Oryzias latipes: one gene and its partners. The protein of the gene in region 3 interacts with the protein of the main gene of each other region in a pairwise test. Links are inferred from orthologs where the notes say so. Each region holds a gene or a part of one and is shown on either strand. Other genes may lie near its edges. The genes, in order: disc1, rab4a and gripap1.

The links.
Region 1: the proteins of gripap1 (region 3) and disc1 interact in binary tests that used the Homo sapiens proteins (3 or more experiments, as listed by UniProt). The link is inferred for Oryzias latipes from reciprocal best matches to the Homo sapiens genes GRIPAP1 and DISC1.
Region 2: the proteins of gripap1 (region 3) and rab4a interact in binary tests that used the Homo sapiens proteins (3 or more experiments, as listed by UniProt). The link is inferred for Oryzias latipes from reciprocal best matches to the Homo sapiens genes GRIPAP1 and RAB4A.

The regions. Positions count from the first base shown.
Region 1 is NC_019873.2:28,418,177-28,421,827, forward strand, and holds part of disc1 (disrupted in schizophrenia 1 protein), read left to right. Parts: intron 1-1,144; coding exon 1,145-2,013; intron 2,014-3,058; coding exon 3,059-3,128; intron 3,129-3,651. UniProt on the Homo sapiens protein: Involved in the regulation of multiple aspects of embryonic and adult neurogenesis. Required for neural progenitor proliferation in the ventrical/subventrical zone during embryonic brain development and in the adult dentate gyrus of the hippocampus.
Region 2 is NC_019861.2:24,497,761-24,501,878, forward strand, and holds the start of rab4a (ras-related protein Rab-4A), read left to right. Parts: upstream 1-1,266; 5' UTR 1,267-1,400; coding exon 1,401-1,416; intron 1,417-2,027; coding exon 2,028-2,108; intron 2,109-2,956; coding exon 2,957-3,071; intron 3,072-3,258; coding exon 3,259-3,321; intron 3,322-3,400; coding exon 3,401-3,555; intron 3,556-3,721; coding exon 3,722-3,817; intron 3,818-4,033; coding exon 4,034-4,118. Other genes in the region: phf10 (PHD finger protein 10), read right to left, coding at 822-896. UniProt on the Homo sapiens protein: The small GTPases Rab are key regulators of intracellular membrane trafficking, from the formation of transport vesicles to their fusion with membranes.
Region 3 is NC_019865.2:32,147,658-32,151,308, forward strand, and holds part of gripap1 (GRIP1-associated protein 1), read left to right. Parts: intron 1-96; coding exon 97-129; intron 130-192; coding exon 193-263; intron 264-2,906; coding exon 2,907-2,954; intron 2,955-3,025; coding exon 3,026-3,057; intron 3,058-3,651. UniProt on the Homo sapiens protein: Regulates the endosomal recycling back to the neuronal plasma membrane, possibly by connecting early and late recycling endosomal domains and promoting segregation of recycling endosomes from early endosomal membranes.

The DNA of each region.
Region 1 (3,651 bases), on a different chromosome or scaffold from region 3:
GTTGAGAACTTGTGGTCAATCCTCAAGAGGCGGGTGGACGAACAGAAAGCCACTAATTCTGACCGACTCCAAGAAGTGATTCTGAAAGAACGGGCTGCTATCAGTCAGGATTTGGGCCAGAAGTTGATTGACAGCATGCCCAGTGGGAGTACAGAGGTCCTGAAAAGAAGGGCCAAGACTGCAAATACTGACTCTTTGCATAAATGTCATGGAATTGTCCATAAAAGCCTTTGAAATGTATGAAGTGCTTGGAATTCTATTAACTCTGAGAAAACTAAAATTTGTGTCCATGACTGTAGACTAAATAGAACAATGCCGACTGACATTCTGAAAAAAATATGTAAGGAGATTTGTGGGGTAAAATTAGAATTTATCAATAGGTCAAAATGTTTCCACCGGAAGAAAAAGAAGGTGTAAACAAAATATTAAAGGTGGGAGTGATGTTGTTTGCCTGTTACCTGCCCCCGCCGCCCCCTATTACCCCCTTTGACCCACCCTCACTGGCTGAACGGTTGCTGTACGCCCCTCAATCTCCCCCTTTTGCCTCCACCACCCTGGTCAGAGCTGCATGGGACAAATTCGCGTTTTCTTTCAAAATGGCGGCTTATCTGTTAGTTTTATCTCCGTAGCAACCATTTACGTTTTTGGTCGCCTAGGGTTGACAAACAGGTCTGTGTAATATTTTTTGAAGTATCAGCAAAAGTACTTTTTCGGATTTCCTTGGCAACTGAAGTTTTTGGTTAACCACGCCCACATTCCTCATATATTCGTAAGGTATTAAATATTGTTTCGTTCAGCTTTAGCCAATGACCATTTGTCTAAAATCTTTAGAATATTTCGGTAAAAAATATGCGATCAACAGGGGAACGCCAAATTTGTGACCTCGCCACGCTAACACAAACTTTAAAACCAACATTTTTTCCCCCGTGAAGCTTCCCGATGACGCTCAAGGAGTTGGGAGGTGATGGCTGCTTGTTTGTTCCAGCTTCTTGAAGAAATTTGCTATTACTTGACTGAAATGCTTTTTTCTTACTGTCTTTTATTAAACTCTCCTTTCATTGCAGATCCAGCGTTTCCCGCCCGTGAGCTCACTCTTCATCTTCCTCCTGTCGCGGAGCTTAACGCCTAATCTCTGTATCAACAGGTGGCAGAGCGTTGGCGACAGCTGGCAGCTCTGGGCGAAAGAGGCATCACCGAAAGCCAGGCTACATGAGAGGAGAGCAGTCCAGGCTGCTGAGCTCTGCAGGTACCGAGGAGGAAGAGGAGGAGGAGGAGGAGGAGGAGGAAGAGGCGATAAGCGGCTGCTTTGGGAATGGAAACTGTGGATGCAGCACCGCCGTCACCCATGGCCCTCCAGCTCAAAGACTGAGTCCAGCTCCTGCTTTAATGGTTAATAAACCAACGGGTTTGAGGAGTGAGGGCGTCCTCGGCCCGGCTGCAGACATCCATCCTGCTCCAGCAACATCCAACCATCTGGGTCTGACCTCAGAGCCTCATGATGAGCTCAGCTTAAGGCTGAGGCCGGCTCCCCAGACCTCAGCAGAAGACTCTTTCACGTCCAGTTTCAGTTTCATTCAGCAATCGCTCAGCTCCAGTCAGAGGACCGGTTCTTCAGCTGCACCACTACAGGAACCAGAACCACCTACCAAAGCCCCCGAAGGACCACAACCCAAACCTGACTCCCAGCAGAACTTCTTAAAGCTCTCGCTTCCTGTCCACTCTTCACCCGGCCACGCACAGAAGGAGGACCTGCCGTCAGGAGGGAGGCTCTGGCGGGAAAGTCAGTGTTACGGTAAAGAGGAGACCTCCCACCTTCTGGACTGCGAGCCCCGTCCTCTGGACGTGGAGGTCACCTCCTCGCTGTCGGTGGATTCAGACACGGCCTCAGCCTCCTCTTTCACCTCCGGTTACGAGAGCGCCACAGCGGGCTTGGAGTCGGGCTGGGACGGCGTGGTGAAGAAGTACGAGGGCGTGCTGCAGGCCTGCCTCCGAAACAACCGCGCCTACACAAAGGTGGGCATAGCGGATCCTCTTGAGGGGGGCAGAGACTTCAAACACATTCACTTTAAAGTGCTGTCATTGCTGAGGGAGAACTCATGTTCTGTAGACTGTTTCAGATCATTAAATCAAATAAATCATGGCGCTAAAGTGCGCTAAAGAGAAAAAGCAATTACATTTAAAGCCGCGAGTGGTGTAGTATGGTTTAGCCCTCCCTCATTGGCTGAGTGGCTGCTACAAGCCCCTCCCTCTCCTTTCATGCCTCTGCCAGCCTAGTCAAACTTGCATGTGAGAAGAAGAAAAAAGCACTTTTTTTCAAAAATGGCGGCTTTTCTATTTGTTTCATCTCCATAGCAACCATTTAGTTATTTGATCGTCCGGGGGGGAGGAACAGGTCGATGTGCATTTTAGAAGGATCGCTAAAAGTAAATTTTTGGGTTTCCTTGGCAACAGAGGTATTTTGTTAGCCACGCCCACATTCCTGATATGTTTGTATCGTATGTCATATAGTTTTGTTCAGCTCAGCGAAAACTTTTCTTCAAAGATGCAGTAAATAGGAAAAATTGCAGAAACAATCTGGTCCTTCAGTCCAGAACGGCTGTGGGACGCAGATAGTTAAAGTTTTGAATCTTTCGGTCCGTGATGGCTCAGGTCAGATGGATGTGAAGGTCATGACAACATTTAGAAACAACCACCTTAAATATCTTGTTCAAAGCTAAGCCCGACAGGAAATGGAATGATGAGCAACAAAGGTCATGGTCTGGCTTTCAAAATAAAACACAAACGTTTATAAAATTAAAGGTTTGGACCATTTGTCATTAATTAAACACATTTAAGTTATTTTCAAAATCTGTGTTAAAAACTGGAAGAAAGTTAAAAAAAAAATCACACTTTTGATTTAAAAAAAAAGAGAATGGAGCAGAGCATAAAGTTATGTTCATAAGTTAAAATCTCCAAAAGCAGCAGAACTTTCTGACAGAATGACGGTCATTGTACTTGTCCCGTTCCCTGTGGGCGGCGTCCTGTGGGCTGATGTCTCCGTCTCTTCTCTCCGCCTCAGATCGAGTCCATGATGTTGAAGCTGCAGAGGCTCCAGCAGAAAGCCGTTCTGGACGACGACTACGACGCAGGTGAACGCCAAACACAACGTTTTAACCCTCTGAATCAAGCGTTTTATGAGGAACGTTTTGCTTGCATGCCATTATTTCACCATTGCGTGTGTTTATAGATTTTCCCATTAAAGTTGTCGGAGTGGAAGGAAGTGTTTGCAGAGCGATTATGACAGAAATCCCAGCTGTCAAAGGACCGTCAAGATTCAAACATTCATCTGTTTAACACTCGTGATCTTTGGGCTCTACTGCGTTATTTAACAACATGGCACAATCCAAACATGTTACATATGATAAAAGACCTGCAGCTAAAAACGGTTTTTGAACCAACCTCACTGAGGCTTGCAGGCGTTTGTTTGAACGGGTCGTCTGAGGCCACGTGTCACTCCGGGTCAGGTCAGGACTGTGACTGGGTCAGAGCAACACTTTGATCCGGAGCGCTGTCATGATCCACTTCCAGCCAAACATCAGTCTCTAAATGGTTTTTGTTTACAATAAAATGGAGGGGTCATGTGGTTTGCCCATGTTATAAAACTTCCTCCAC
Region 2 (4,118 bases), on a different chromosome or scaffold from region 3:
GCACCAGTTAGTTTCAGGTGCGCACCAGTTAGTATCAGGTGCCCACCAGTTAGTTTCAGGTGCGCACCAGTTAGTATCAGGTGCCCACCAGTTAGTTTCAGCTGCGCACCAATTAGTTTCAGGTGACATTATGACATTGTCAGTAATATTTCGTGTTTTCAGAAAGTTTATAAGGTCCATATCCTCAACTTTAGCCATTCTCAAGACAACTGTAGCTACTTGGTGCACAATGAGCAAGCAGGTCAACTATCTGATATCTTCTGATACTAACTGGTGCGCACCTGAAACTAACTGGTGCGCACCTGATACTAACTGGTGCGCACCTGAAACTAACTGGTGCGCACCAGTTAGTTTTTTTTCCTATTTACTTCAAAAAAAAAATTTTTAGCTCAAAGAATTTTTTTTTACTTCAAAAAAAAAAAATTTCCTCAAGTTTTTTTTTTTTTCATCAATGGCCCTTTAGGGGCTCCGTATTATTGTGAAAATGGGAACATGTGCAAAACTAGTTTGACTAGGATTACACAGGGAAAAAATTAGCAACACTTTATATTTAAATGGCTACACAATCTAGTTTTTTTTTATTTATATATTTTTTCAACGTTGCAAACTAATAGAGAAATACACGAATAATAGGAGCAAATTACTTCAAGAGGAAGTAATTTGAGCACATTTGAAAACAAATGATTTTGCTAAAAGTGGCTGACAGTTGTCCTAGTGAATGGAAACGTCCGTTGGCTAGCTAGCTATCTGTTAGCAAAACATCGTCATGTTTCCCCGTAAACAACAGCTAATGGATATTTATCAAAGTAGAAAAAAATCACCTTCATGGAGTGCGCCCCAGGAGTAGCGGGACTGCTATCACTTGGTGGTCTAATAATAGGGAATAATGTAGCCATTTTAAGATAAATAATGCCCACAGCTAGGCTAATGATTAGCGGGGGAAACTACGTTTCTTCTTCTTTGGACAACCACGGACTCGGTTGACGTTTGTGTAAATTCAGAGCGCCACCTCCTAGATCCTCCAAAAAATATGTTAAAAAGAGAGAATTTGTACACAACATGCAAACCAATTAATTTACATATAGATAAAACTCTCAGCGAAATGGGCTGTTTTTAAAATTTACTTAGAACGGCGAGAATTTATTTTTCATTAATTGAAACCATAAGAACATATCCAAACATCACCCCCACGCGGTAGTTTGAGGACTATGTGGCATAAGTGTCATTTCAGAATGCTTTTATTTTGAAGAAAAAAAACCCACACACACCGTACAGGAAGTTGGAGGAGGAAATCATAGAATCCAAGGAAATCACCAACAGGACTATTTCCATCACTTAGCAAGCTAAACAAATAACAGTTTCGCCTTTCTCTGCCTTGCAGCTTAGCTGACACACCGAGGATGTCGGAGTCTTACGGTAAGGAGGCTGTCTTGCTTTATACCCGTTAGAATCTCACACACAGATGGCAGGAAAGGGATGATGAGGTCCCTTCGTAAACAAATAGCTAGCTGGCAGGCTAACCGAGCCACTGAGGAGTAGGAAGGTTTTGGCCTTTAAACTCAAATGTCAGCGTTAATAAATCTGCCTTCCGGGTACAGGTGTATTAGTAAAGCTTTATAATGCAAGAAGCTGTGACTATAGGAGATGCTATTGTTCCCGGGATAAGCACTAGGACACAAAGCAAGAGACTCCCGCTTTTCTTTTGCAAACGCAAGTGATGATAGGATATCTCTGTGTTTTGTGAGGCATTGCTCAAATTACACTATGCTACAACTGTTCAATCAATTGAACCAACATTAAACATGATAATTATCTTAGTGGGAGTAAAGAATAAATATATATATATAAGGCTTTGTTCGATCTGTTTACGACACATTTGTCTTGATTTGTATAGTGTAGACATCAGATGTGTACATGTCAACAACTGTATCAAAAAAAAATTAAGAATAGTTGAGTTTATTAATAACAAGGCAGCATATTCAAACCCTGTTTGCTTTATCTATGTTACTACTGTGTTCCCTCTGCAGACTTTCTGTTTAAATTCCTAGTGATTGGAAATGCTGGAACAGGCAAATCCTGCCTTCTGCACCAGTTCATAGAAAAGAGATGTAAGTTTGCTTCAGTTGTAATCACTAGAAAAAGCTTTATAATAATGACACAGTAATTGCCCGACTCTTTTATTTAAATATCTTTAAGGTCCCACTCAAAGACAGTCGTTATTTGTGTGTTTTTAACATATTTTTGTGACATTTTGTTCTCATTATAATGGACATTTATGTAAAAATTAAGCCTAAAATTGCATCTCTGAGTATTTCTTTATTCAAATCACTGTGATTCAGGACCAGTTGCTTGTAGATGTGACATAGAAGCTACTATGGCGAGCTACAAGCTCCCTGCTCCGCTTCAATCCGATGCATCCACTTGTAAACAAATAGATCCATGAACGTCTTCATTTTCCTCGTGTGAGCTAACATCTAGCTTAAAACTGTACAGCTGAATAGCTCTAATATTGCTCGCCATTTTTGTTGCACCACTAATGTTGAGGGGGTGTGAGGGGCTGTAAGCTAGAGGAGTGTAAACAAAAGGAAGATGGGAAAGGTCCCAGTCCCGTCCACAACTCAAAGATTCATTTTTTAATAACCTACTGCCGCTCTGCAGATACTATGTCCAACACAACAAGAGTTTGTTTGCTTTTTTCAATTTTGGCTAAAACAGCATAAACATTATTTAAAAACTACTGAAAACGCTTTTACAATAGTTCAAAAGATGATCGGAGTGGGACTTTAAGCAAATCTTGATGAATATTTTTAGTTTGACTCTTATTTTTTAAACAGATTTTAGCAAAGCAGTCACAATCTTTATCAGATTAAAAAAGGGCATTTTATTTTTGTAAACAGTAGGTCATTTTAAGGTGTTGAAAATATATGACTTACATGTGATATTTATGATTTTCCAGTCAAAGATGAGTCCAACCACACAATTGGAGTGGAGTTTGGCTCCAAGATTATTAGTGTGGTGAACAAAATGGTCAAACTTCAGATTTGGGACACTGCAGGTCAAGAACGTTTCAGGTAGCTAAACATCTTTAAAAATTCCTTCTACATTGTGGATGTTGCGTTTTTAGAGATGTCGGCGGTGCACAGCTACAACTTTTTTTTTTCCATTTCTGTCTTAAATTGGCAATAATTACTAAATGGATTTGGTATGCATTTGCTTAAGTGTCAACAATGTTCCCTTTAACCAGTATATGTTTGTCAGGTCCGTCACCAGGAGCTACTACAGAGGAGCAGCAGGAGCTTTGCTGGTCTATGATATCACCAGGTAAGACGAGGTGCGTTATTCTTTTATTATGTATACTTTGACTGCTTAACCATTTGTTTTGTTGTTTTTGTGGCTTCAGTCGAGAAACCTACAACGCCTTAACCACGTGGTTAAGTGATGCTAGGATGCTGGCCAGTCAAAACATTGTAATTATCCTGTGTGGGAACAAAAAGGATCTAGATGCTGACAGAGAGGTCACGTTTCTGGAGGCGTCACGCTTCGCTCAGGAAAATGGTTCGATCTTAAGTTTATAATCCTTAGCTAAAAACTATACAGTTAACTTTCATTATACGTAATTACTCAATGGTTTACTGTTTAGCACTGACTGGCCATTAGTGTGGAATAATCATCAGCGGTTTTCATAGCGGCTGCTCTCATCCTTACTCTGTGTTTGTGGCAGAGTTAATGTTCCTGGAGACCAGCGCTCTCACAGGAGAGAATGTTGAAGAAGCCTTTGTCCAGTGTGCCCGGAAAATCCTGAATAAAATAGAGTCAGGTGAGGAGTTCTAATCTTTGCCCACATTTGTTAAACACAATTTCCAAATCCCTTCTTATCCTAATGGGATAGTCCAAGCTCAGGTGGAGCTCAGGGCTTCAGTGAGCTAGTCTGGAGTGTTGGACCAGCTGGTCCAAAAGTCTGTAGTGGGGATGAAACCTCTGTAGGTTGTTTTCTCTTTATCTCTATTAATCAGCACCATTTCTCTACTCTTAGGAGAGCTAGATCCAGAGAGGATGGGGTCAGGAATCCAATATGGGGACGCTGCGTTACGCCAGCTTCGTTCTCCTCGCCGTGCTCA
Region 3 (3,651 bases):
TCTGTGTGAAAAGCCTGGTCTCTGATCAGTTCTGCAGCATTGTAGTGTGTGTCTGGCCTAACAGACTGCCCCTGCTGTGTGCGGCGCCCTCTTTAGGCCTGTCAGAGAAGAGCATAGAGAGGAGTGTAGGTAAGCAGGCAGCGCTAGGCTGGTCGGCTGCACTCTGTCCAATAACTCACTGCTTTGGACCAGAACTGGAGATGGCACTGAACACCGAGCAGGAGGAGAAGAGGCTGCTGAAGGAGCAGATCCACAGTCTGGAGGTACACACACACACACACACACTCTCACACAGTCACACACCAGGGTGAAAATGACATGGGGCTGTGCTGACTGATCCTGGCTGTTGATGACATTCATACATTCACCCACTCTGATGAAAATGGTGTTTTTGACGTGTTTGTCTGAAGATGGAGAACATTTATAAAGAACATTAGACTAAAAATTGCATTTCTGGTATTTCTTTATTCAAATCTTTGTGAATCAGAAGCAGATGAAAAAATTCAGTTGGTAAAAGAGCTTTTATATGACTTAGAAAATACTCTTTTTTTTTTTTCCCCAGCTCGTAGAATCAGTGTTTCTATGAGTGAGCTTGTTGGAAGTCTGCACCCCTTCCACTGAAAGCGGTAGAATCTCAAACGGTTTGAACGTTGGAGGTGGGGGCCAGCAGGCACCACATGCTTTTATTGAGACATCTGATTAAGCATCATGAAAAACATTAGGATGAGCAAAAACATGATAAGAAAATATCAGATCAAGAATGGTTCTTCTGACCAATAGAAGTCTATGGGATTTTGGCTTCTTGGAGCCAGCAGGTACTTCCTGTTTGGATCGCCAGGGGGCGGGGTCACTCAGTCCAGATCTTGTATGCAGCCAATGGCCCCAACTCCCTGCTCTGCCCCATTCTCATGCATCCACCGTCAGACAAATAGATCCCTGAACGTCTTTGTTTTTCCTGGTCTGAGCTGGAATCTGGATCAGAACTGTGCAGCTGCAAAGCTACCATATTGCTTTGCCTTTTTTGCACCGGTAATGTTTGGGTGGGAGTGTGAGGGGATGTAAGCTAGCAGGAGAGCACGTAAACGGAAAGCCACCAGTAACAGCGAGGGGGGAGGGGGCGGTGTTGTTCCATGCCAGCGGTCACGCCCACAACTTGGAGGTGAATTTCTAATGAGCTCCTGCTGCCCTGCAGAAACTATGTCCTAGAAAACCACACCCTTTTTTTGATTTGGTCTAAAAACAGCATCATCATAATTAGAAGTCCATTGGGAACGATTTAAAGATGTTTAGAGTGGGACTTTAAAACAGCTCCATGTTCTCCATTGGATGCTGTGGTATTATTGTTGTAGTGATGCATTCATGGTTCTGTTTTTCCACTTTTTAGCACCGTCCTGTTTCACATCTTCCTTTGTTTTTCCATTTTACAGTCTATAGTTTCCCAATAAAACAAACTTTTTCCTTGTCATGTGACCATCGGTTAAGATGTGGTGGGACACAGATGACCTGCGTGTGAAGCTGAGAAGAAATTTAAGTGGGACCATTCAATACACAAAGAAGGCTTGGAGGCAAATAAACCAAATTAGGTTTTCATTCAACTTAGTGCTTGAATTTTCCAAGGAATTGTCTCAGCAATCGATGTTACATTCCTGCAACTAAACGGTCAACAAATTCCAGACGTGCTCAAAAACTGTCATGACTCCGGCCTGTCACTAAGGCTGCAGCCGACATCTTACTGTGACATTAAAAACGTTTTATTGTACTAAAATCCTTTTTGTATGCCAGTATCCCATTAGAAGAATCTTTAAGCTAACATTTAGCTATTGACAGAAACAGACACTCCCTTTAAGGGTGTAAACCCAGACATCCGGGCCTCATGGTCAAAGGAGCCTTATGAATCTGTGAAATGTTCCTTTCAGGCAGAACGGATGATGGGCTTCTACCAGTACTGGTGTACTTTCCTAACAACAATAAAATAATTCACATAAATGCTGGCCATCCTAATATATTAAAGCAAAGATGCAGGAGAAGTTTCAGCTCAGAAACCTCAAGTGTGAACTGAAGAAACCAGAACCACTGAACAGATGGTCCAACCTGTATCCAAACTGTTTTTAGTTTCCTCTCATGTCCTACGATCAGATAAAGATTGGTTTATTTTTCTGTCAGAGAGGCTGAGTCAGCATAACACTGGTTTCTGTGGAAGCACAGAAACCTCATGGCTGAACCCACTATTGATTGTTTAAATGGTTTATACAGCGCTGCCTTTGTGTTTTGCCGGGGTTGACTTGTGAAATAACCTGTGAGAGGTGAAGTCATAAAGTAGGGTTACAGATGTTTTAATGCTGTGAAACTCCTCACTACACACTTTTCTCAGACAAATGGGATTTCCCCCCCCTTTTCTCCCTTGTTTAAAGTCTCAAAGTTCAGATCTTCACATACAAATGAGTCCAATATTATAGACTAAAATCAAAGATCTGATTGCGATTTCCAGTCCCAGTCCCATTCACCCATGCACACACACAACCACACACCGACAGTGGCTCTGCTGCCGTTCATGCCTGACCTTTAACCAATGTCGTGGTCACCGTCTTGTCCAAGGGCACTTGACCCATGGGCAATGGGGGATGTTCATCACCTCACGCTGTTGGCTCAGGGTCAGACTCCCAGCATGCACCCTCACTCCCCTTTCAGAGGTGTCTATGGTGCCTTAGGTTTGTGGCATAACCACATGGGGATTAATCATCACTTTCAAGTGTCTGCAGTTCAGACACCTCACACCTTTGGCCCGCTGCGCCTTCTGTCTTTTACCCACCCAGATGCCTGACATGTGAGGCACTGGCACAAAGCTCCAAACAACAACCGCTTGAGCTGATGAAGGTGGTCTGAACTGCTCTCATGTCCTCTCACAGGCGTCCAAACAGGCCGAAGTCGCCAAACTCCAGGAAGAGATGATGAAGGTAAAGGGAACCTTAACAATCCACCAACCAACTCTTGCTTCTCGAGCCTGACCTGTCTGTCTGTGTTTCAGCTGTCTGACAAGTTGAAGAAGAAGCAGGAGAGGTGAGATGTTCATTACTTCACCATAACACCTTCAGTCTGAGGTTCAGCACATCATAATGGGAATCACCTGGTCCTAACCTCAGCTGAAAACGTGAACTCTTCTCTAAAATACCTCAGCTGTGTTCGTACTGAACGGCATTTGCACGGCAGAGGTTCCAATGTTGAGTCAATGCACAGACGAGATGAGAGGTCCTGTGGCGCGATTTAAGCCTTGACGCTCTGGGGCTGACACAAAAACACCCTCCACTCAAGCAGCAGTGAAGGCTCGCTGTACAGTGTTTCCAGAGTACAAGTATCTGAGCGTCAACCAACAAGGTACTCTGCATAGACCATTGACATGATGATGATGTGATCAGCGGGTGGAGTTTCTCTGCTAGCATGGAGACGATAATAAAAAGGTTATTTAATTTAATATCTACCCTCCTGGGACCAATGAGGGACAGCAAATGGTCAAACTGGATCCCAGAGAGACAGAAGAACTGCTGAAAGTAGCTTTCATTCAGATGCAGCTCCTGCAGTGGAGGAGGAAGCTCACCGTACCGGGAGAGTCTGAATGAAATCATGAACCCAGACATGGAGACGTGATTACCGATG